Linked DNA regions of Elephas maximus indicus. The protein of the gene in region 1 interacts with the protein of each later gene in a biochemical or structural test. Links are inferred from orthologs where the notes say so. Each region holds a gene or a part of one and is shown on either strand. Other genes may lie near its edges. The genes, in order: NFE2L2 and ENC1.

Evidence for each region.
Region 2: the proteins of NFE2L2 (region 1) and ENC1 form a complex in vitro, tested with the Homo sapiens proteins (2 studies listed by BioGRID). The link is inferred for Elephas maximus indicus from reciprocal best matches to the Homo sapiens genes NFE2L2 and ENC1.

The regions. Positions count from the first base shown.
Region 1 is NC_064824.1:75,429,983-75,440,031, reverse strand, and holds the start of NFE2L2 (nuclear factor erythroid 2-related factor 2), read left to right. Parts: upstream 1-5,834; 5' UTR 5,835-6,383; coding exon 6,384-6,428; intron 6,429-6,434; exon of another isoform or gene 6,435-7,252; intron 7,253-7,258; exon of another isoform or gene 7,259-7,591; intron 7,592-10,049.
Region 2 is NC_064820.1:79,159,554-79,169,706, reverse strand, and holds the start of ENC1 (ectoderm-neural cortex protein 1), read left to right. Parts: upstream 1-5,451; 5' UTR 5,452-5,519; intron 5,520-5,896; exon of another isoform or gene 5,897-6,575; intron 6,576-10,153. UniProt on the Homo sapiens protein: Actin-binding protein involved in the regulation of neuronal process formation and in differentiation of neural crest cells.

The DNA.
Region 1 (10,049 bases):
ATGGGGAATTAATTAAACAGAATGTGGAAAAATGTAACCTTCAGGGAGCTTTGCTGTGAGTATTCTCAGTACATACAGCACAAGCCAGGGGACTCTACAGAGACCTGACCTAGAGTGGACTGAACATAGACTTTGGAATTGGCCTTTTTCAAATAATAATTTTTTTTAAGCTTTGAGCAAGTCACTTAATTGTTTTGTAGCTCTCTGATTTATGATATTGGGCCTAATTGTATCACCTTAATTTATAGAAGATGTTTACAAAATACACGCAAAAATTATCATTAATAGACCAGATCACTAATCCCCTCCAAAAATAATGTGCTATTGTGTGAATAAAATTTACACTTGCACCTTTAGGTCTGGCTTAGTGCTATATTTGTGTTTAAAAGCCTGAGTCAATTTGCTGTGTGGGAAAAACATAATACCAGGAGTCAGGAACTGTTAACTCTATTCCTGGTTCTGCCAATAACTAGCTCTGTGATCATTGTAACCACTTTACCTATCTGTTTCCTCAAATATAAAATTAGAGGGTTGGACTAGATCAGGAAGGGAAAACAACTGATGATATATGCTATCACTTCCATAGCTCTGGGCCCAGGGCAGGCATTGGTAGTCAATCACTGAACTTTTTGTATCAAACTGCGCAACTGCTTCTGACTACATCTTAGCAAAGCATTGTATGTAGGTAGCCACTATCAATCAGAATTGGCAATCAAAGTGAAGCCTACTTGTCATCTCTGGGTCAGAAGACCTCTAAGGTTTCTTTTATTTCTAAATATTACTCAGAGAGAAAAATGAGAGCCTGCAGAATAGCAAATGTCAGAAGACAACTATCTTGCCAAGTCTTACCTCCCTTTTTTACTTTCAGCCTCAGAGAGTGTTATATATAGACTTTGTCTGCAAGGCCTGTCCAGGAGGATGCTCTGCTCTCCCATTCACTGCATTCTACCTTTTATTTGTCCAAAAATGAGAAGAGTTCGTTTGTTTTTTCCAATCGTAAAAATGCTTGCCATAAAAACGTGAATACAAAAAAAGTACAAAGATGAAAGTGAAAATTATCTTCTCTCTCACCCCCCATTATTAATATTTGGTAACCAGCCTTGCAGACACAGGTCTAGGCATAAGTGGTTTTCTGAACCCACGCAGCAATGTTATATATGGACCTCTTTGCAAGCACTTAGAAGCTGCATTTCTTAGGTCGCTATACGATGTGCTCTTAACATTCGGTCTTCGTCTGGGGGCTCCTATTCTGCTGAGTGAAACTTTGAAAATACAGAGGATTGAAAGAGAAATGGATCTTCAGACTGTTCTCCCAACCATATTAAAAAGGTGTGGTGAAATTCTCCAGGCTTCACTCAGGTCAAGTAAATACAGAATGGAAAGATTTACAAAGCTTGTGGTTAAAATTCAATTGGAAAATGAAATGGAGAAAAGCAAGGGCTCCTCCCTGACCCCTGGCTCCCCCACTTTTTCCCCCTCTTATTATAAAAGTAATATATGTTCATTTAGGAAAATACAGACCAGCAAAAATGAGCAAGATAAAAATCATTGCTAATGCAAATAATCAGAATAATTATGGTTGACATTTTAGAGCCCCTACTTTCCGTCTTTCTATCCTATGTTTATGTATTTATATAGATATAGATTTATATAGACATACAGCCCATAATTCAAAACCGCTGTTGTAAATCTCTGTTTTTCCCCTTTGCTCATTGTATTGCTGTTCCTGCTGGGCACTATTTCTACCACGAGGAGAATACCGCAAGGGTTAAAACTGGCTTTGTACACATATAGTTCTTCATAGCAGTAGTTTGCATAATGAGGTGTGTACACCAAGGAACCAGGGTTATGGGTGTGTTTTGAAACTAATACACCAATTATTTTGAACACTGCTGAATGGGAGTTCAGTTTATCTGCTGGGCAGGTCGCTCTTCAAGTTCAAACTCCCTGAGCAGATATTCAGCAAGCATCTGACATAACTGATATAAATGAGGTCACGCTAGGGCCAGAATCTCTATATGCATTTATACCTCCATCTACTTAATTGGTGAAGTGTCTGTGTTCTTTAATTGTATTTTGATAAAGAAAATATTTTTTATCATCTAAGTAATGGCATAGGGAGGAGTGGTAGCTCCGTGGTAGAATTCTCGTCTCGACAGTGCGCTTTAAGCACAGCCACTACCTATCTGTCAGAGGCCTGTGTGTTGCTATCATGCCAAATAGGTTTCAGCAGAGCTTCCAGACTAAGACAGTCTAGGAAGCAAAACTTGGCAATCTGCTTCTGAAAATTAGCCAATGAAAACCCTATGGGTCACAAAATTCCGATCTGCAATTGATTATGGGTATGGCACAGGAAGGACTAAGCAGCATTTTGTTGCATTGTGCGTGGGGTCGCCATGAGTCGGAGAGTCCATACAATGGCAGCTAACAACATGTAGTGGTATGGGAGCTGAAGCTTGGTGTGATGAAGTTATTCACTCTGTATGTGGCAACAGAGTTCCCGTCCTCATTTCCAGGAAGGCCAGTTAGCTTCTACCTTATCTACTGAAGCACTGTTTCTGTACTTGTGCTCCTGGTGATGGTTAAAAAAACTTAGCCAACAAAAAAGCAGCCAGAAGAAACCTGCCTTTGATATTCAGTATATGCTGTTTTGCTTATCTATTACTGCGAAACAAACCACCCTAATATTTAGTAGCTGAAAACAGTTTGCTATAGTTTCTCACAATTCTTTCGATTGACTGGTTTCAGCCAGGCAGTCTTTTCCAGGTCTTGCTTGAAGTCTCTTGTGTGGCTGCAGTTAGACAGCAGCTGAGGTTGGAGTTTTTTGGGAGCTTGACTACCAGTAAATAGTCTGGAAGGGCCAAGATGGTTTCTTCATTCACCAGATGGTGCCTTGGTTCGTGTGGCCTTTCTCCACTTGGAATCTCATCCTCCAAGGCTTCTCCCGTGGCCTCTCTCTTCATGAAGGTAGTCAAACTCTTACGTGATGGCTGACTTTCAAGAGTGGAAAATTGAAAGCTACCAGGCCTTCTTAAGGCTCAATCATGGGCCTGGCACAGTGTTACTTGCAGCCTCCTTCCATAAAGTAAAGCAAGTCACAGGGCCAGCCATGACTCAGCATTGGGGGCTGGGGGGTTACACAAGCACATCACTATCAGGAGGGGCAGTTTACTGGGTGCCGTCTTTGGAAACTAGCTACCCCCTATGCTCCAACTAAGCTGAACAAAGTAGAATTTCAACTATAATCCCAAGAGATTCTGAATATTTTTTCTGACTCAAACACTGAGTATAGCTGAGGGAAAGAGAGAAGAGGGAAGAAACCTCAAAGTAAGTGTTGGAGGATTTTGAAACAGTTGTTACTTTCTAGGGTTTTGCAAATTGGCAGATGAGAGCATGCAGAAGAAGGTAAAAATAAATGGATTAAAGCATCACCATTATCCAAATTTTGTGTACACAGAAAGCTTACTCGAGGAGAGTTTTGGAGCAAGGTACTATTCTGGCACAAACATATATGGAGGTCTGTCTTTCCAAAGTCAGTAAAGAATTCAGACATCAATGGAAATGTACAAAGATCAGTTAAATTTAAAACCAATCGGGGAAAAAATAAAATAATAAGCTAGGAGAGGTTGGCAGTGAGAAGAGCTTCTGGGTTTTTATGGAGCCTGAACAGAGGAGATAACCAGCACCTCTTTTTTCCTGCTCCCCTGGAGTTTCTCGACGTGTCCCATCTGTGCCCCATAGCATAATATATAAATTTGGGAGACAAGGCAATTTAGGGAAGGGCCCAGGCTCAAATGAAGACAATCTATCTCATTTTAGTGTCTTTAAAGACACTCTTTGATATGGGTGATCTCAGATTGAGGTTCCCTTTTCTTGCACTGAACAGCTTTCCCTTGGTGTTTATATTTCTTAAACATGTTCAGACTGTTATCATATTGTTCTCCTCCCTTTGAAAACATGTACTCTGCAGGTACCTGAAACAATACACTCCCAGAAAATTGCAGTTTTGTAAAAGTAAACGTTATTTCTATTCAGTCTAAACTCAATGGAAATTTTGTTGCTTAACAATACCAAGTACTTCATAAATTCCTTGAGGGCAACAACCATGTCATATATGATTTTTGTTATCTCCCACCTGCTGGACTCATCGTTTACCTCCGCCAATGTAGTAGTTTTAATAAGTAACTTGAATCGTTAACAATACACTCTTGTCTCCTTCTTTGATGCAGAAATTTCATTTCATTGTTATGTCTCTTCATGTTTCATGTCCAGTTCTTTGTAAATAATTTTTCCTAAGCTTCTTTTCAAAGTGCAGATCATTTTGCAGGCTTTTTACATAACCGCTGAAAGGGTTTAATTTAGGTTGAAGAAGCTTGCTTCAACTACAATTAATTAATTTAGGCTTCATTTATCTCAAGTATTTGAAGATATTAATTTACAGGTAAATCCTGTGAGTGTCAAATTATGCAACTAAGAGAAAACAGTTCTTTACAGTTTATTTGGCATCGACATGCTGTAAAAAACCAGACCTGTTGCCATCCAGTAGAATCAGACTCATAGCCATCCTATAGGACAGAGCAGAACTGCCCTCTAGGGTTTCTAAGGCTGTAATCTTTAAAGGAAGCAGACTGCCACATCTTTCTCCCGCAGGGCAGCTGGTAGGTTCTAACTGCCCATCTTTTGGTTAGCAGCCCAGCACTTAACCACTGTGCCACCAGGGCTCCTTTGATGTGCTATAGTCGGCCTTTTTTTTTTTTTTTGTGGTGAGGTTTTCGAATGAAATAGTAAAACCACAGTGGCACCACTTCACCTGGTTTTGAATAATTCCAAGAAGCTAGAAACCGAAAACCAGATTTGTTAAAGAGTTATTGTTAATACCTAAGTGAAAAAAAAAAAAATACAATTTCGCTATTTCCTTTTAAATCCTGTAAGACTTTACAATACTGCCGTTTTTAAAAACTTGGAAGTTTTCTGTAGGGAATGATTTTTAAATAATTGTTTTCTAATGGAAAAATGATATATATTCATTGTGGATTTAAAACATACTTAAAATAACCCTACCCTCCCCCCCAAACAAACAAACAAAAAACCTAACCCGTTGCAAACCAGTCGATTCCAACTCATAGTGACCCTCTGGGACAGGGTAGAACTGCCCCACAGGGTTTCCAAGGAGCGGCTGGTGGATTAGAACTGCCAACCTTTTGGTTAGCTGCCCAGCTCTTAACCACTTAGCCACCAGGGCTCCTAAAATAAAAAAGGAAGGTAAAATTCATTCATGATCCTGCAACTATTAATATTTTGGTATCCTTCCTTTTTGCTTTTCCCCTAGGCACTTTTTTTTCAAAGAACGGGCCCATTACTATACATTTTGTAACTTTGTTCTCCGCCCCCCCCCTTAACTATGTCGTGAATAAATGAAAAACTTTTACGGATTATGGCATGTTTTAGTCAAAGGACGCCATCTGTGGTGTGGTGAGTGTGCTTTGGGGAGAAGAAAAAGCTTTTGGGGAAGAGAAAGTTTTTGGTGGACAATATTGACCATTCTGAACAAATGAGACCTCTCCATTTGACCTTGGCGATGTGACCCCAGCGAGAGTGCGAGCGCGTGGGAGTAAATGGAGGGCGTTCAGGGTGACTGCGAGCACGAGTTCCCGGCGCGGTTCCCATGTCCCCTGGGAAGGGCCGACTGGGCCCAGCCCGGAAGAGAACCGAGGGCGAAAGGGCAGTTTGTGGTGTGCACACTGTGGGTCCAAGCCTGTTGCTCCCGCCCCCGGGTGGCGCCACCCTTGAGCGGTGAGTGAGATAAGCCCGGACAAGGTTCTGCAACTTCAGATCCGGGAGGCGCACCTCCGATATCCGCGCCTTTGCCTAGTCTCCGGGCGTGTTTGTTCCAAGTGTTTAAACTGTCTCAAAGCGCCCGAACCCGAAAGACCCTCTGCAAACAACTCTTTTATCTGTCGGGCGGAGGGCGCTGGTTTTATTTGCGAGGGAAGGCCAGTTGAGCGCGAGGACCGCGAAGCTAAAGGACCCCTCTTCTCTGCATCCCGCCTTCCCGCCTGCGGCCTCCCACTGGGCCCCCCAGTCCGCCGCCCTCCGCGCCCCCGGACCGCAAGCTTCTTGCGTCAGCCGGGGCGGAGGTGGGGGATTTTCCGCGGCTCTGCTCGCGCGGCCAGCGGGGGAAGGAAGGGCCCGTGCTCTTGCCCCGCCCTCGCAGGGCGGGAGGCGGAGCGGGGCAAGAGCACCGCCGGCGACTCCGGTCGGGTTGCCCAGCAGCGAGTGCCGGGGAGCCGGGAGGAGCCGCTGCCAGTGCCGCCCTGTCCGCACTTCGGCAGCCGGGACAGGGCCGCCGTCGGGGAGCCCTAGCGCACAGTCCCCAGCTCAACATGATGGATCTGGAGCTGCCGTCGCCGGAACTACCGTCCCAGCAGGTGCCGTCCCGATCCTCCGAGACCCGCGGTGGCTCCAAGACTGGGGCAGGGTCGTCAGGGGACCGCGGCCCGCTCCTCCTCCAGTCTGTGGCCAGAGTCGGAACTGCAGCGGCCGCGGACTGGAGCCGCTGCGCGTGCGCTGGAGCCGGCGGAGAGGAGGAGCGGGGACCCTAGGGGCCGGGATGGGTGTGGGGACGAGGCCGGGTGGCCAGACCGACTACGAGCCCGCGGCCCCCGAGGGGCACTGTGGGGAGAGTTTCTAAGCTGCCCCCGCGCGGGTGGGGCAGAGAACGTCACCGGCCGCACCCCGGCCGCCGAAGCTGGCACCGGGGAGCCCAAGCCGGCTCCCGGGGTGTGAGGGACGCTGAGGCGGCAGAGCAGGAGGGGGCGGACGGCCGTAGTCGGAGCCGGTCCGACCCGGCCCTTCCGCTGCTGCGCGGTTCCCCCGCCTAGGAAAAGGAGCGGGCAAAAATGTGCCTAGTCACGGGGCTGCTCTCGGGGGAGCTGAGGTCTTCGCTGGGCTGCGTTCCAGAGCCCCTCCTCTGTCGCTGCCCCTCCCCGGGTCCTGCGACCTCCGCGCCGAGGGCCTTTGCGGGGCTTGCAGACCCCACCAGGCCGTCTATGGGTTCTCGGTTACGAAATAATCAGCTGTCAATCCATGAAATCACTCTTTGGTCAGCCTTGAGCTAGAAAGCCCAGCCCCCGGGGGAGGGAGGAAGTCCTGACGGCCCGTCGTGCTTGGAGCCTCGACGTGCGGCTGCCGGGCCGAGGGAGAGGTTGGGGCTCGTGGACCTTGGGCCGGACCCTGCAGCCCCTCGAGGGAGGTGGGAGAGAGGACAGCGGACACTGAAGTCGGAGTGCGCGGCGCCCGGGGCTTCCCTTTCCGGACGAGGTGCCTCCCGGTGTTGCACGCCGCGTGCGTGGCCTCGGCCGCCTCAGCCTCCGTGACAGTGGCCGGTTGGTTGTCACGGCGGCCCTCGGTTGGCCCTTTCCTGCTTATAGCGTGCAAACCTCGCCGCGCCGGGGCCAAGGGACAAGTTGGAGCTGTTGATCTGTTGCGCAATCGTTATTTTCCCCAGAGCGGCTTTGTCTTTGGATTTAGCGTTTCAGAATTGCAATTCCAAAATGTGTAAGGCAGGATATTCTGTTCTGTGCTGTCAAGGGTAAGAGTTTCGACTGTAGATTAGAATTTCTACTGCTTTTAGGCTGCTATTCAGTTATTTGCTTTCAGCTATTATTCCCCCTTGGGTGCTTACATATTTTTCCTTTTTTGTTTGAGGATTTGCCTCAGTTTCTTAGCATGTTGCCTTTTTTTTTTGCAAGGGCAGAGGGAGGGACACTTGTGTTTCATAATGCTTTGCTCACAAGTTCTGTAAATTGTCGTAAAAGTGAAAACAAGTTTCTCTTTAAACTTTGTGGGAAAATTTAAAGGAATACGTATTTATATTTGCAGAATTTTTTGTGTGTGTAATTGGGTTTTTAGAAAAATATTTGGTTTAAGGAAATGTGTTACATGATTAAAAAGTAATAGTAAATGTGTTTATGCTTGGAAATGTGAAATTTTAGGCTGACCCTGAAGATCTAATGTAAGCTTTCAAGTTGTTGACGATGATTCATTGTGCTGTTTTTTTTTTAAGTTGTTTGTGTTGAGCTTCCCCCAGTACTGATTGGGATTGTATCCTCCAGGTTCCCACTAGTAGGAAGAAGTAAAATCCTTCCTATTTAGATGCTGTTCATTAGTAGTCTGTAGGAGCTCTTGTTTGTCCAAGGGATATATGAGCTAATGGACTTTAGTTTTCCTAAATTCAGGAATTGTAGTCTAAAGTCCTCTCTTATTTTAAAATTTTTTTCCTTTATTGTGAACTTTAACATTCCGTATATGAAAGTGCATAAAGCGCATGTACTGCTTTCCCCTTTAAAGTGAATTTTTCAGTTATGTTTGATAAAATTACTGCTTTTCCATCTTTGTAATTATAAATCAGTTTGCATATTTGAAGACTGAAAAGTAAATGGAGTTAAATTTTAGAATGGATTTCATGTCTATAGCTATGAAGTAAATTCATACAAATTACAATTTGTAGTCCAGAAAGATTTAAACAGTCAAAAGTGGATTCTGACCTTTTGTCAGAGAAACTCCAGGTGTGAAGTCATAGTGGGGATGCAGTCTTTCACTCTCTGTATGAGAGAAGGTGTTAACAGGACTTATAGCTCTATTATATAGCTCTATTAGAGGAAGGATCCATCCATTACTCTTTTCAAGGGTGTCTTGGAGAAATGAAGTACTTTTGTAGATGAGGGATGGAGTTGATCTTGGACTAGACCAATAAGGCTATTTTTAAAAGTCAAACACAAAGAAGAAAACGGGCCTCTCATCTCCTGAATTAATGTTAAGCAAAGAACGACTTGACTTTTTAGATATGTGAAAAATCTCTGAGATTGTTCAAGCAGCATGTAGGAGAATAAATGCATAACTCAGTCTTTCTGCATTAAAAATAACTTAGGCCATTATAAACTCTTTCTTGCAAACTTGAGTTCTTCTAAACAATGTAGGGGAGAAAAAAATAAACAAAAAACCCGTCTTTCTTTAGGATTACCAGGAATAGTTGAAAGTCCAATACATTACTTTTCCTAGTATTTATTTTTATTCAGGATGAATTATACTTACAAAGATGTATGTGAAAAGGGACTGTCTGTGGTCTACAAGCATATTCCCCCCCCCCCCAGGAATTTCCTCTGTCCTGAAAAAACATATTTAAAGAAGGTATTTTTTTTTTATTGCATAAATATAAATAATACTTCTTTAATTTCTTCTTGAACCTCGGTTAACGTTTCAGTGTAAACTCTTGGGTGCAGAAAGAATTTGGCACTAAGATGATAATAGTTAAGTTATTGGGCATTACCATGATGCCAGGCAGTGTGATAATTGCTTCTCATGCATAAGTTCACAGTAACTCCATGGGAATACAGTTATCTCAGATTTCCAGGTGAGGAAAGAGACAGAAAGGGAGAGAGGCCTGCTTAAAGTGACCCAGCTTATTGAGTGGCAGAGGTAGAATTTAAATGTAGGCAGTCTGTCTCCAAACCAAAAACCCATTGCCGTTGAGTTGATTCCAACTCATAGCAACCCTATAGGACAGAGTAGAACTGCTCTTTAAGGTTTCCAAGGAGCACCTGGTGGATTTGAACTGCCGAACTTTTTGGTTAACAGCTGTAGCTCTTAACCACTGTACTATCAGGGTTTCCAGTCTGTCACCTGTGGCTCTTAATCACTTCAGAACTGGACCGTGCCTTGTTGTGTGCCATCAAGTAGATTCTGACTCATAGTGACCACCCTATAGAACAGGGTAGAACTACTCCGTAGGGTTTCCTAGGCTGTAATCTTTATAGGACTAGATCACCAGGTCTTTTCTCCCTCAGAGCTGCTGGTGGGTTCAAACCACGGACCTTTCAGTTAGCAACTGAGTGTTCAACCACTGCACCCCCGTGACTCCTTGACCATGCCTTAAAAAGTGGATAAATTGAGAAAAACTGGGGGGAGGAGATACAGGAATTAAAAAGATTAATGTCTGCACCTTTTTCCAGTTACCAAGAAATTCGATAACTGGGTATGTGATGGAGGAG
Region 2 (10,153 bases), on another chromosome or scaffold:
GGGTCTGCTGAGGCCTTGGCCAAGACTGCATCCCAGCTCCACTTCTCCCTCTGCCCATCCTGCTCCCCTCCCTTCCCTTCCACAGGTATTGATCTCAAAACTTAAACGGACTGGGACACAGCTCCTGGCTGGGCGTCTACCTCCCAACACTACCTTGACACCACAGAAGGAGAAGCACAAATCTCTGGTGGATGACTGATCTCCACTCCAACTCCATAGGGCCCAGCCTTGAAGCCCATCCCACAAATAGCAGGAGAAAGGAAAACTGTGCCACCTCACAGATTAGACAAGTAGAGGATGCTTTTGGAGTCCTGGCAGGGAACAGGACTGAAATTTCAGTGGGGCTTCACTGGACCACAGGAGGGAGGATGGCAGCTGTGAGCCCCTGCCCACAGTTTGTTCTAATCCTCCGATCTGTCCTGTCCCTGGTACCATAAGTGCACGTGTTAATTAAATCATTCTCATTAATTCAGCCCGAGTGTAAATTAGGAAGGAATGAAGATAAATTAGGTTTGAAGGCAGCTAATACATCTAACCCCATGCTGTTTATTTTGCAGCCTAACAAAGTAACATTGTTAAGGGAGATAACAGGGCCGAAGCCTCAACAGCGTTAAAAATGAAACCTTGGTTTGGTGTCACAAGGCAAAGCCGAAGACCAACTCCCAGAGGCCTAAGGGGCTGGCCTATGTCGTGAGGTGGTGGCCATTGTACAATGTGGATGTGGCTGAATTTCCTGAGTTGTCTAATATGCAGATATCCATTATGTCTATTGTTGTCTGGCTGGATCACAGGCCTAACCAGAGATTTCCTCCTGCTCAGCTAAAAGACTGGCTCACCTTTTCTTTCCAGGAGTAAGGTCATAAGACTTACCTTTAGGGATTGGCTGAGAAATGCTGTAGGGAGAACAAATTTTAAGTTGTTATAAGTAAGCTAACTGGAAAATCACTTTCAGCTGTGAGATAAACATTAGAAACTGCCAACAGGCCCCAAAACTTTCCATGTATTTGTTCAAGCAAACCAGTGTACAGCAGGTAGGAGCTGACTGGCATTTTGAAAAATGCAAGTTCAGTTCCTATGTCTTTCAGCAGGAGTATGTTTTCTGTTTTTATAACCTACATAACTGTTTTTCCCCCTGCCTTGTGTTGACTATCTCCCTGTGGCAGATGAAGCAAATGTGTATGGTCACTGAACATATTGCAAGATTTTCCAGGCTACAGCTTTTTTTTTTTTTTTTTTTTTTAAATCACAGAAATGTGGCAACATTAGGACAAACTGACACCAGAAAGTGAAATCAGTAGATGATGACACATGGCCAGAGAGCTTCGTACCTTTTTCAGCCCTGCCTGCTTAGCAAAGCTCTTCGCAAAACCAATGAACTTTATTGACCCACGGTTAAGGACGTTCTGCAGTTTCCAGGTGGTAACGATGGTAAAGAATTCCAGAACACTTAACTGTGCTCATGAGGAACCTGTACATAGACCTAGAGGCATTCGTTTGAACAGAAAAAGGCGATACTGGGTGGTTTAAAATGAGAAAAGGTGCGCGTCAAGGCTGTATCCTTTCACCATACTTATTCAATCTGTATGCTGAGCAAATAATATGAGAAGCTGGACTATATGAAAAAAAACAGCATCAGGATTGGAGGAACACTAATTAACAACCTGCAGTATGCAGATGACACAACCTTGCTTCTTGTGATATGCAGATGACACAACCTTGTTTGCTGAAAGTGAAGAGGACTTGAAGCACTTACTGATGAAGATCAAAGACCATACAGCCTTCAGTATGGATTGCGTCTCACCATAAAAAGAAAACAAAAAATCCTCACAAATGGACCAATAAGCAACATCATGATAAATGGAGAAACTACTGAAATTGTCAAGGATGTCATTTTATTGGGCTCCACAATCAACGCCCATGAAAGCAGCAGTCATGAAATCAAGGAACAGATTGCATTGGGCAAATATGCTGCAAAAGCCCTCTTTAAAGTGTGTCATGGATTGAATTGTGTCCACCAAAAATATGTGTATCAAAATTGGCTAGGTCATGATTCCTAGTATTGTATGATTATCTACCATTTCATCATCTGATGTGATCTCCCTATACGTTGTAAATCCCATCACTATGATGGAATAAGATGGATTAGCAGCAGTTATATCGATAAGATCTACAAGATTAGATAGTGTCTTAAGCCAATCTCTTTCGAGATGTAAAAGAGAGAAGCAAGCAGAGAGACAGGGGGACCCATATCACCAAGAAAGCAGTGCCGGAAGCAGAACACATCCTTTGGACCTGAGGTTCCTGTGCTGAGATGCTCCCAGACCATGGGAAGACTGATAACAAGGACCTTCCTCCAGAGCCGACAGAGACAGAAAGCCTTGCCTTGGAGCTGGTGCCCTGAATTTGGACTTCTAGCCTACTGGACTGTGAGAGAATAAACTTCTCTTTGTTAAAGCCATCCATTTGTGGTATTTCTGTTATAGCAGCACTAGATGTCTAAGACAAAATGTTAAAAAGCAAAGATATCACTTTGAGGATTAAGGTGTGCCTGACCCAAGCCATGGTATTTTCAATCATCTCATATGCATGTGAAAGCTAGGCAATGAATAAGGACGACTGAAGAAGAATTGATGCCTTTGAAATATGGTGTTGGTGAAGAATATTGAATATACCATGGACTGCCAGAAGAAGGAACAAATCTGTCTTGGAAGAAGTACAGCCAGAATGCTCCTTAGAAGAGAGGATGGTGAGACTTTGTCTCACTTACTTTGTACATGGTTATCAAGAGGGACTGGTACCTGGAGAAGGACATCATGGTAGGTAAAGTAGAGGGTCAGAGAAAAAGAGAAAGACCCTCAATGAGATGGACTGACACAGTGGTTGCAACAATGGGCTCAAACATAACAAGGATTGTCAGGATGCTCAGGACTGGGCAGTATCTCGGTTCTGTTGTACACAGGGTCACTGTGAGTCGGAACCGACAGGACAGCACCAGACAACAGCAACAAAGATGCAACAGACACAGTTTATCTGTTCCTAGCTAGGTGGCTTCATGCAGCAACGTCCTCAATCAATTCACTGTGCTATTTACATATTTCAGGTAGATTTTGGTAGGGTCTCCTAGGTAGACTTCTAGGTAGAACTGACTGAAGGAAAAAGGAAGTACTTTTCCATAATGAGGAAAAGTGTTAATCTCTTAAACAGAAAATTTCCCCAGTGAAAAACATTAACATTTGGTCTTCAAAACTAAAGTGCTTGCTTTAGACTGGAAACAGTGACAATATATGTCTAGGAGGCAGCCTTGATCAGGTTTCCCCCACACCTGGCCACAGGCTACAGAAACATGTTTTAAAAGGACATACATGCAATAGCTACACATTTCCACCTCCCATCTTTTCAGCACCTATTCCTGGTGTGCACAGTGTCTCTACCCGTTTGGTCTTCGCTGATTTTTCCCGTCTCCTGCAGGAACACAGCTCTGCTTGCGGCACTGTCCTCTTCGCCTAGCAGCCCCCAGAACCACCGCACCAAGACTTGAGGGGGGCCGACTCTGGCTTTGTTAAGCAGTTGGGAGCCGAAACTCTGCATTAAAAAATTGAAATACATGGGGAAGTCAGCACAACTTCACCAAGGCAAGGGCATGGAAGCTTTACAGACACATCCAAACTCCCTGAGGGACAGAATTACTGGCCTGAGGGCTGTGGGGACCATGGTCTTGGGGAACATCTAGCTCAACTGGCATAACATAGTTTATAAAGAAAATGTAACAGGCCACATCTACCACAGCCTCCACCAGACTGAATCCAGCACAACTAGATGGTGCCCAGCTACCACCACCAACTGCTCTGACAGGGATCACAATAGAGGGTCCCGGACAGAGCTGGGGAAAAATGTAGAACAAAATCCTAACTCACCAAAAAAAAAAAAAAAGAGGACCAGACTTACTGGTGTAACAGAAACTGGAGAAATCCCCAAGAGTATGGCCCCTGGACACTCCTTTCGCTGAGTAATGAACTCACTTCTGAGGTTCACCCTTCAGCCAAAGATTAGACAGACCCATAAAACAAACAAAACGAGACTAAATGGGCAGCGGCAAAGACTAGAAGGCAAGAGGGGACAGGAAAGCCGGTAAGGGGGAACACAAGGTACAGAAGGCGAAAGCGTTGACATGTGGTGAGGTTGGCAACCAACGTCACAAAACAATATGTGCATTATTTAATGAGAACTACTTTGTTCTATAAACCTTCACCCACAGTACAAGAAAAATATGAAATATGTCACAGATTTGTAAAGACTCCTCTGGTGAGGTGAGGGTTTTGAACTGGTTTGTTCCAGTTCAAGGCCCTGTTGAGAATTTGCATTTCTAACAAATTCCCAGGTAATGCGAATGCTGCTGGTTAGGGACCAATTCTGAGAACCAAGAGTAGTACGGCCGTGCTTCTCAAAATTTATCATAGAAAAGAACCACCTGGAGCTCTTGTTAAAATGTAGATTCTGATTCAGTATATCTGGGTGGAAAGACAAATCCTCAGTAGGGGTTCCTACCGGATTGAACCGACTGGAAGCCCTGAGGAATGCTGCCCAGTTAATGCTAACAAAGGACTTCAGAGGGCACTGTCTTTCTTTGTTTGCAAAGAGGGAAACTCTCGGCACGGAAAAACCAGGAGGGAATGCGGGTAGAGGAAAGTGGGGTTAGAATAAAAAACTGACAAGAGTCAGAGTCTTGGTTTCAGCCCTCCCTGGACCCTCGTAGCGCCAAGTGGGACCTCCTTAGCCTGTTTGAGCCATTTCTGTACCAAGAGTTTTAAAGAAAGCTCGGATACAGGTCAGAGAAAACTCCGATGCGGCAGCCTCACTCGAGCTCCAGGGCTGGGCCACTGCTAAACTGCTGCGTGGCCAGGAGCCAGGCAATTCACATCTCCCTGGACTTCAGTTTCCTCAACTGTAAAAGGAGGGGGTTGGACCGGTAATCTCTATGGTTCATTCATACGCTTTATTGCAAATACTGAAGAAAAAGCAAACAGGCGTTTTAACTCCCAGTGGAAATACGAGTCCTAACTGCAAAGATAAAAAATGGAATTCGTAAATGGTTATCGCCGAGCGAGATTATTTTTGAGTTGCCTTCCTTCCTCTTGGCAGGCCGGCGGCGCTTTAAACATGCGTGCTGGGCCTTTTTTTTTTTTTGTACTGAACTCCAGAGTAACACCACAGAGCAATAAAATATGGGAAAGATCCAGCCTGAGAGGACTCAGGCATTATTGCCATGGAAAGAGGCGGTGAGGCCACTCCTTTGAGGAGATCGCTTTGAATCATGCGACCAAGGCGATTGGCTGCGAAGCACGTGGTGCGCGTCCCACGGGACCATGCCGGGGCTGCTGGTGCTCCGGGGCGGCGTAGGGGCAGAGTCCGGCTCCGGGTGCTGCACCCGCCGGGGGCGAGGCGCGAGGGGGGAGGGGAGGGAGGACCCATGTAAAACGCCTGGGGCGCAAGTCTGTCTGGCCCCCTGCCAGCTAGAAACCGTAAGTCCCGTCTTACCCAACCTGCAGTGTCCCCGGAGTGTCCAAACTTGTGCCCCTTCCCTCGCCACTGTCCCTCCTCCGGGTGCCCTACGGGTGGGCTGTGCGCGTCCAGGGCGCGTGCCGCAGACACCCAGTTCTCCCCTCATCACCCTTTCTGGAGTAGGTCGCCGGCTCTGGCCGCGCTGAACGCACAGCCCCAGGTTGCGCTCCCCTGCGTTGAGTCCCTCAGCTCTGGGGCTAGCCATTAACCGGGCTGGCCCAGAGAGGCACAGACACTCCGACCCAAAACAACTTGGTTTATTCGCCGTCCCAGAGGGTTTGCAGCTGCTAGTGGCCGAGACACCGCGTCCGCTTTGTCTTCTCCACTTCTACGCAGCCCCCTTTCCCCCTCCCCACTTCCTCTCTCGATTAACTCCCCCGACACGCTCTTCCCCATCTCCTTTCCTCCTCCTCCTCCTCCTGCCCCGCTAATGCGCTTCCTCCCCTCCCCCGGTGTCACTCTGTTTGCATACGCGCCCCCTCCCTCCTTTCCCTCCCTTCTTCTCCCCTCCTCTCTCCCCTCCCCGCCGCCGCTGCCCCCGCGGCGTTTATAGCCGGGCGCACGGCGGCCCGGCGCAGACTGCTCGGGCAGCCAGAGAGCGGTAGGCTCACGGCGGTGCCGCTGGGATCGAGCCCAGACGCCAGGCGGCTGCCGGCGCGCACGGCGCTTTCTAGCTCCCTCCCCAGAGCACACAGCCCGCTTCCTTTCCGGGCGGCTGCTGCCGCAAGCTCGCTCTACCCTCCCGAGTTAAGATCCGGGAGACGCTTCGCGGGTCGCGGGTCGCGGGCACAGGGTCCGTGGAGCGGGGACCGCGAGGCCGAGGCGAACCGCCAGCAGTGGGCGGCCCCGCGAGCTAGCGTCCCCAGAGCGGTCCTCTACCGGGCCGGCGCCCCATGCGCGCTCCTTCCGCAGTCGCTGCCGCTCCCCGGGTCTGAGACGCCCACTTCGTCGCCTCCCTGCGCCGGTCGCCGAGGCCAGAACAAGCCGGCTGTGCGCGGAGGCCAGCTGCCACCGCTGTAAGTTTCTCCCCACTGCTCCGGACCTGTTGCCGGAGCGGCGGGCTTTGCAGGGGCTGCTTGAGCTGCGGGGGTGTGTTCGCGAGGGGCGTGCTCGCATGGGGTGTGCGGGCGCCCAGGAGCCGCGAGCTGCGTGTTGGGGGAAGCCCTTGCTGGTGCAGAGACCTGGGTGCACGCCGCTGCCCTTCCACAGGAAGCAGGAGCCGGGCATCGCCGGAGGGGCCGACAGGGCTCCCTTTGGCAGCGCAGCGCCGGGGCAAGCTGCGGGGGGAACGAGGAACGCAGGCAGTGTAGGATCAGCTTCTTTGCTCCGCCGAAAGCAGCGCTTCCCTGTGGGTGTTTGTCGCTCTGCCTCGCTCCCCGCAGCCTCCAGGGCCGAGCGCTCTGGGTTTCGTGGCCCACGTTGCACCCTAGCCGGCTCGAGGGAGGGTTGGGGCTACGCTCACACCCCACGGACGGGCACGTTCATGCGGTGAAATGTCTGTAAGTAGTGGATGAAACCTGGTTCTGAAAAACTAGTTTCTTCTCATGCAAGTATTTGGCCTGTAGTGTAACACTATTAATTTCAAAGGATAGTGATTGGTGGGCGGTGTGGAGGTGAAACATTGAACTTGTTCGACATGTAATTTGCTGTTGCCCTCGCAGGCATGGCCAGCATGTTGCAAGTGGACTGTATGGGAAAATGCTTTTCTTGTTAAGATCCTTATAATATTGTTCCATTGTCGTAAATGATGTAAATGCCATAGAAAATCTGTCGAGTTTCTTCTTCGAATTGAGATCAGAGTGAATATTGAAGGGACGCGATGGGATGCTTAAGTATTGGAGGCAGAGGGCGTGTGTAAGGAGCGTTAAGTGAACTGAAGTTACTGTAACTAGGCACACTTTTGATGTCGACGGTAATAGCCTTTTTCAGGGTCTTCTTTGTAGTCACACGTTAAGTATACGTGTGCATTTTCTCAGCCACTTACTTGGCATGCAAATATTATTTCTCTGGGGGCTTAAAAAATGCCAGAGGATGATTCATTTTTTTAGTGACTGCGTAAATGGTCTCTGCTGATGTTTTGATGTTTGCGCGATTTGAAAGCAAGTCGTTTTCCATGGGTCTCTAAGTTTACCTTTTATTTTAATCAAACATCACTGCAAGAATGTTAGATTTCAATTGTGGCACGGTTTCTGTCTGGATGGTATCCAAGATGACAGGCTAGGTCCTTCCTTCTGGCTTTATGTGCCAATCTGGAAAATGCAGAGAGATGCAGATAGTTTCTATTCCTATTCCTAAAGTCTTCTAAACAAACATTTTCTTAAGCGTAGGTCTGGTTGTGAATGCTGCTTTCTTCTGCCCCAAGTCAAATGTGTCCTGGGCGGCAGGGTGATGCTAGCTCAATGCGCAAGCACTTTGGTACTTGCGCACCTGGTTGCAGCAGAGCCCCGTTCTTCCACCAGAGCTACATTTACTATTAGCCTAACAGGATGCAGCTTTTGAGGTTGCTTGGAAACACCAAACTTGCATAGCTACTCATTTCAAGGTTTTGTTAAGTTTCTGTGTTGGGCATTGGAGTATTTATACAGTCTTTTGAGGTTTAGCCTTGAAACCTTTCTCAAAGAACATACTACTGGATGCATTAATTAAAATGACAGCTACAGTGATGGAACATGAGGGATGCTAATACATGTCTTAACTCTTTGGAAGCCTGGTACATTCACTTCGGTTTGTACAGGTCATTCACTGGAATATTGATCATGGATTGAAATGAACTTGGCAGTGGAGGCTTAGTTTGAGATGGGGACCATGTTTGATTCCTAACCATTTTTCATATCCCAAGTCACTGTGGAGAGACTCAAGCATACCGGGGTGCTTTGTAAAGCTTTCCAAATGCCAGAGCTGGAGGACTTTCTTGTTTGCCTTCTTGCAGTAAGCTGTGTTTACTCATAATGAGAAGTTACATTCTAAAAATTAAAGTAAACAAGCTGTATCACCTAATGTTATGTGGCAGTGTGTCAGAGCCATGTAAAGCACTCAGCTTTGTTATTTTCTGTGTCTGCCAAGGCTGATCAAGAGAAGTGCAGTTTGGTATCTTAGCGCAAGAATTTGTGGTTAATCACTCAGTTGTGTTTATTAACATGTCTAGAATATAAATCAAATAATACATATCCGGATGCTAAAGGAAACACTGAGGCCATCAGTTTCAGCTCGGTTATGAGGACTGGCTGTTCTGGGATTGGAACAGATACTGTATCCATGTAGTTTCCACTTCTGGGATAAACAACTTACTTGACAGGCTGGCTTTTGAGGGCTTTATTCCTTTGGAGTAACAGAGGGGTAGTGTAAAAAGGACCTGAGGTTCAGTTTTTGAAGATAAACAATAGGGAAAGGTAAGGGTAACATTTCCTGTATTTTTACCTTGTAGTTTCTTTACCGAAGAAAATAAAAAAATAGCACTAGATTTTGGTATAATTTCATTTTATTTATTGAAGAAAGCATTTTAGTCAGAAAATTCAGGGGTGGCCCTAATTTAACAAATGTAGTAGGCCAAGTATATTATGCATACACGTGTATATATACATATGTGTGTATGCGTATATATTTTTTAACTTTAGTAAAGCAGTGTTTGAGCTTTGAACTCCTCATACACAGGTACCAGCATTTGCAGATATACGAGAACAGTCCAGGCAGTGGACCATTTAAGCAAAAGAGAGGGGTGGATAGCTCCTTTGTTCTTGCAACTGGTTTTCGAAGAATTGAAATAAAGCAGGAAGAACAGAGAAATGGCATCCATTAGTATGCTACTCAAAACATTCTTGCTTTTTTTTGTGTGCCCACAGCCTCGTTTTAGAAGCTGTCCAGAGCAAGAAAGAGTGGTGGTGATTGGGCCACCATCCATCCTGTGGTTATCACTAAAGCCTGCTGACCAATATATGGTAATGTTTGCGTTCTAGAACTCCATAGTGGTAAAGCTGTGGAGTTAGAAATGATCTATAACATTTACAGAAAGGTCTGATTGTTGGAAAAGTAGCCTCAGCCTATGATTTTAATCTGACATTTCCCATTTACTGAACACCCAGGGAGACGGACTCTTACCAAAGGAATTCTTAATGGAATTAATTAGTAGGTGTTTGTTTGACACACAGCTTTATGTTGCACAGGGCGTGAAAGCAGGTGCCCATCCTGGCATTATGAGAGTAGGAGGCCTGGCCTTTTAGGTGACCCGCAGTGAATCAGCTGGCCTAGGACAGGGAGGTGTGAGAATGAGACCTTGTCCCTCTTGTCTTTTGCTGACTTATGTTCTCAAGGACTTCAGTATCCTGAAAGCTGACGATCAGGTTTTCCAAGATGAACCTGCTTTGAGCAGGGATTTTTTTTTTTTTTTTTTAAACAGTGTATAATTCAAATAGCTCACCAGTGTCAAAATGAATGCCTTTCCTTATAGGTAATTGTCTCTGGCTTTGTACTGGAACGGCCATACACTCTTCAAAGCAGCAGGCCGCAGAGCTTCACAGCAAAGCGTCCTGTTTGCTTTGTACAAAATGATTGTTGCTTTTGTTCTTCTGTCCTGAACCTCAGGAGCATCAAGTTGAAT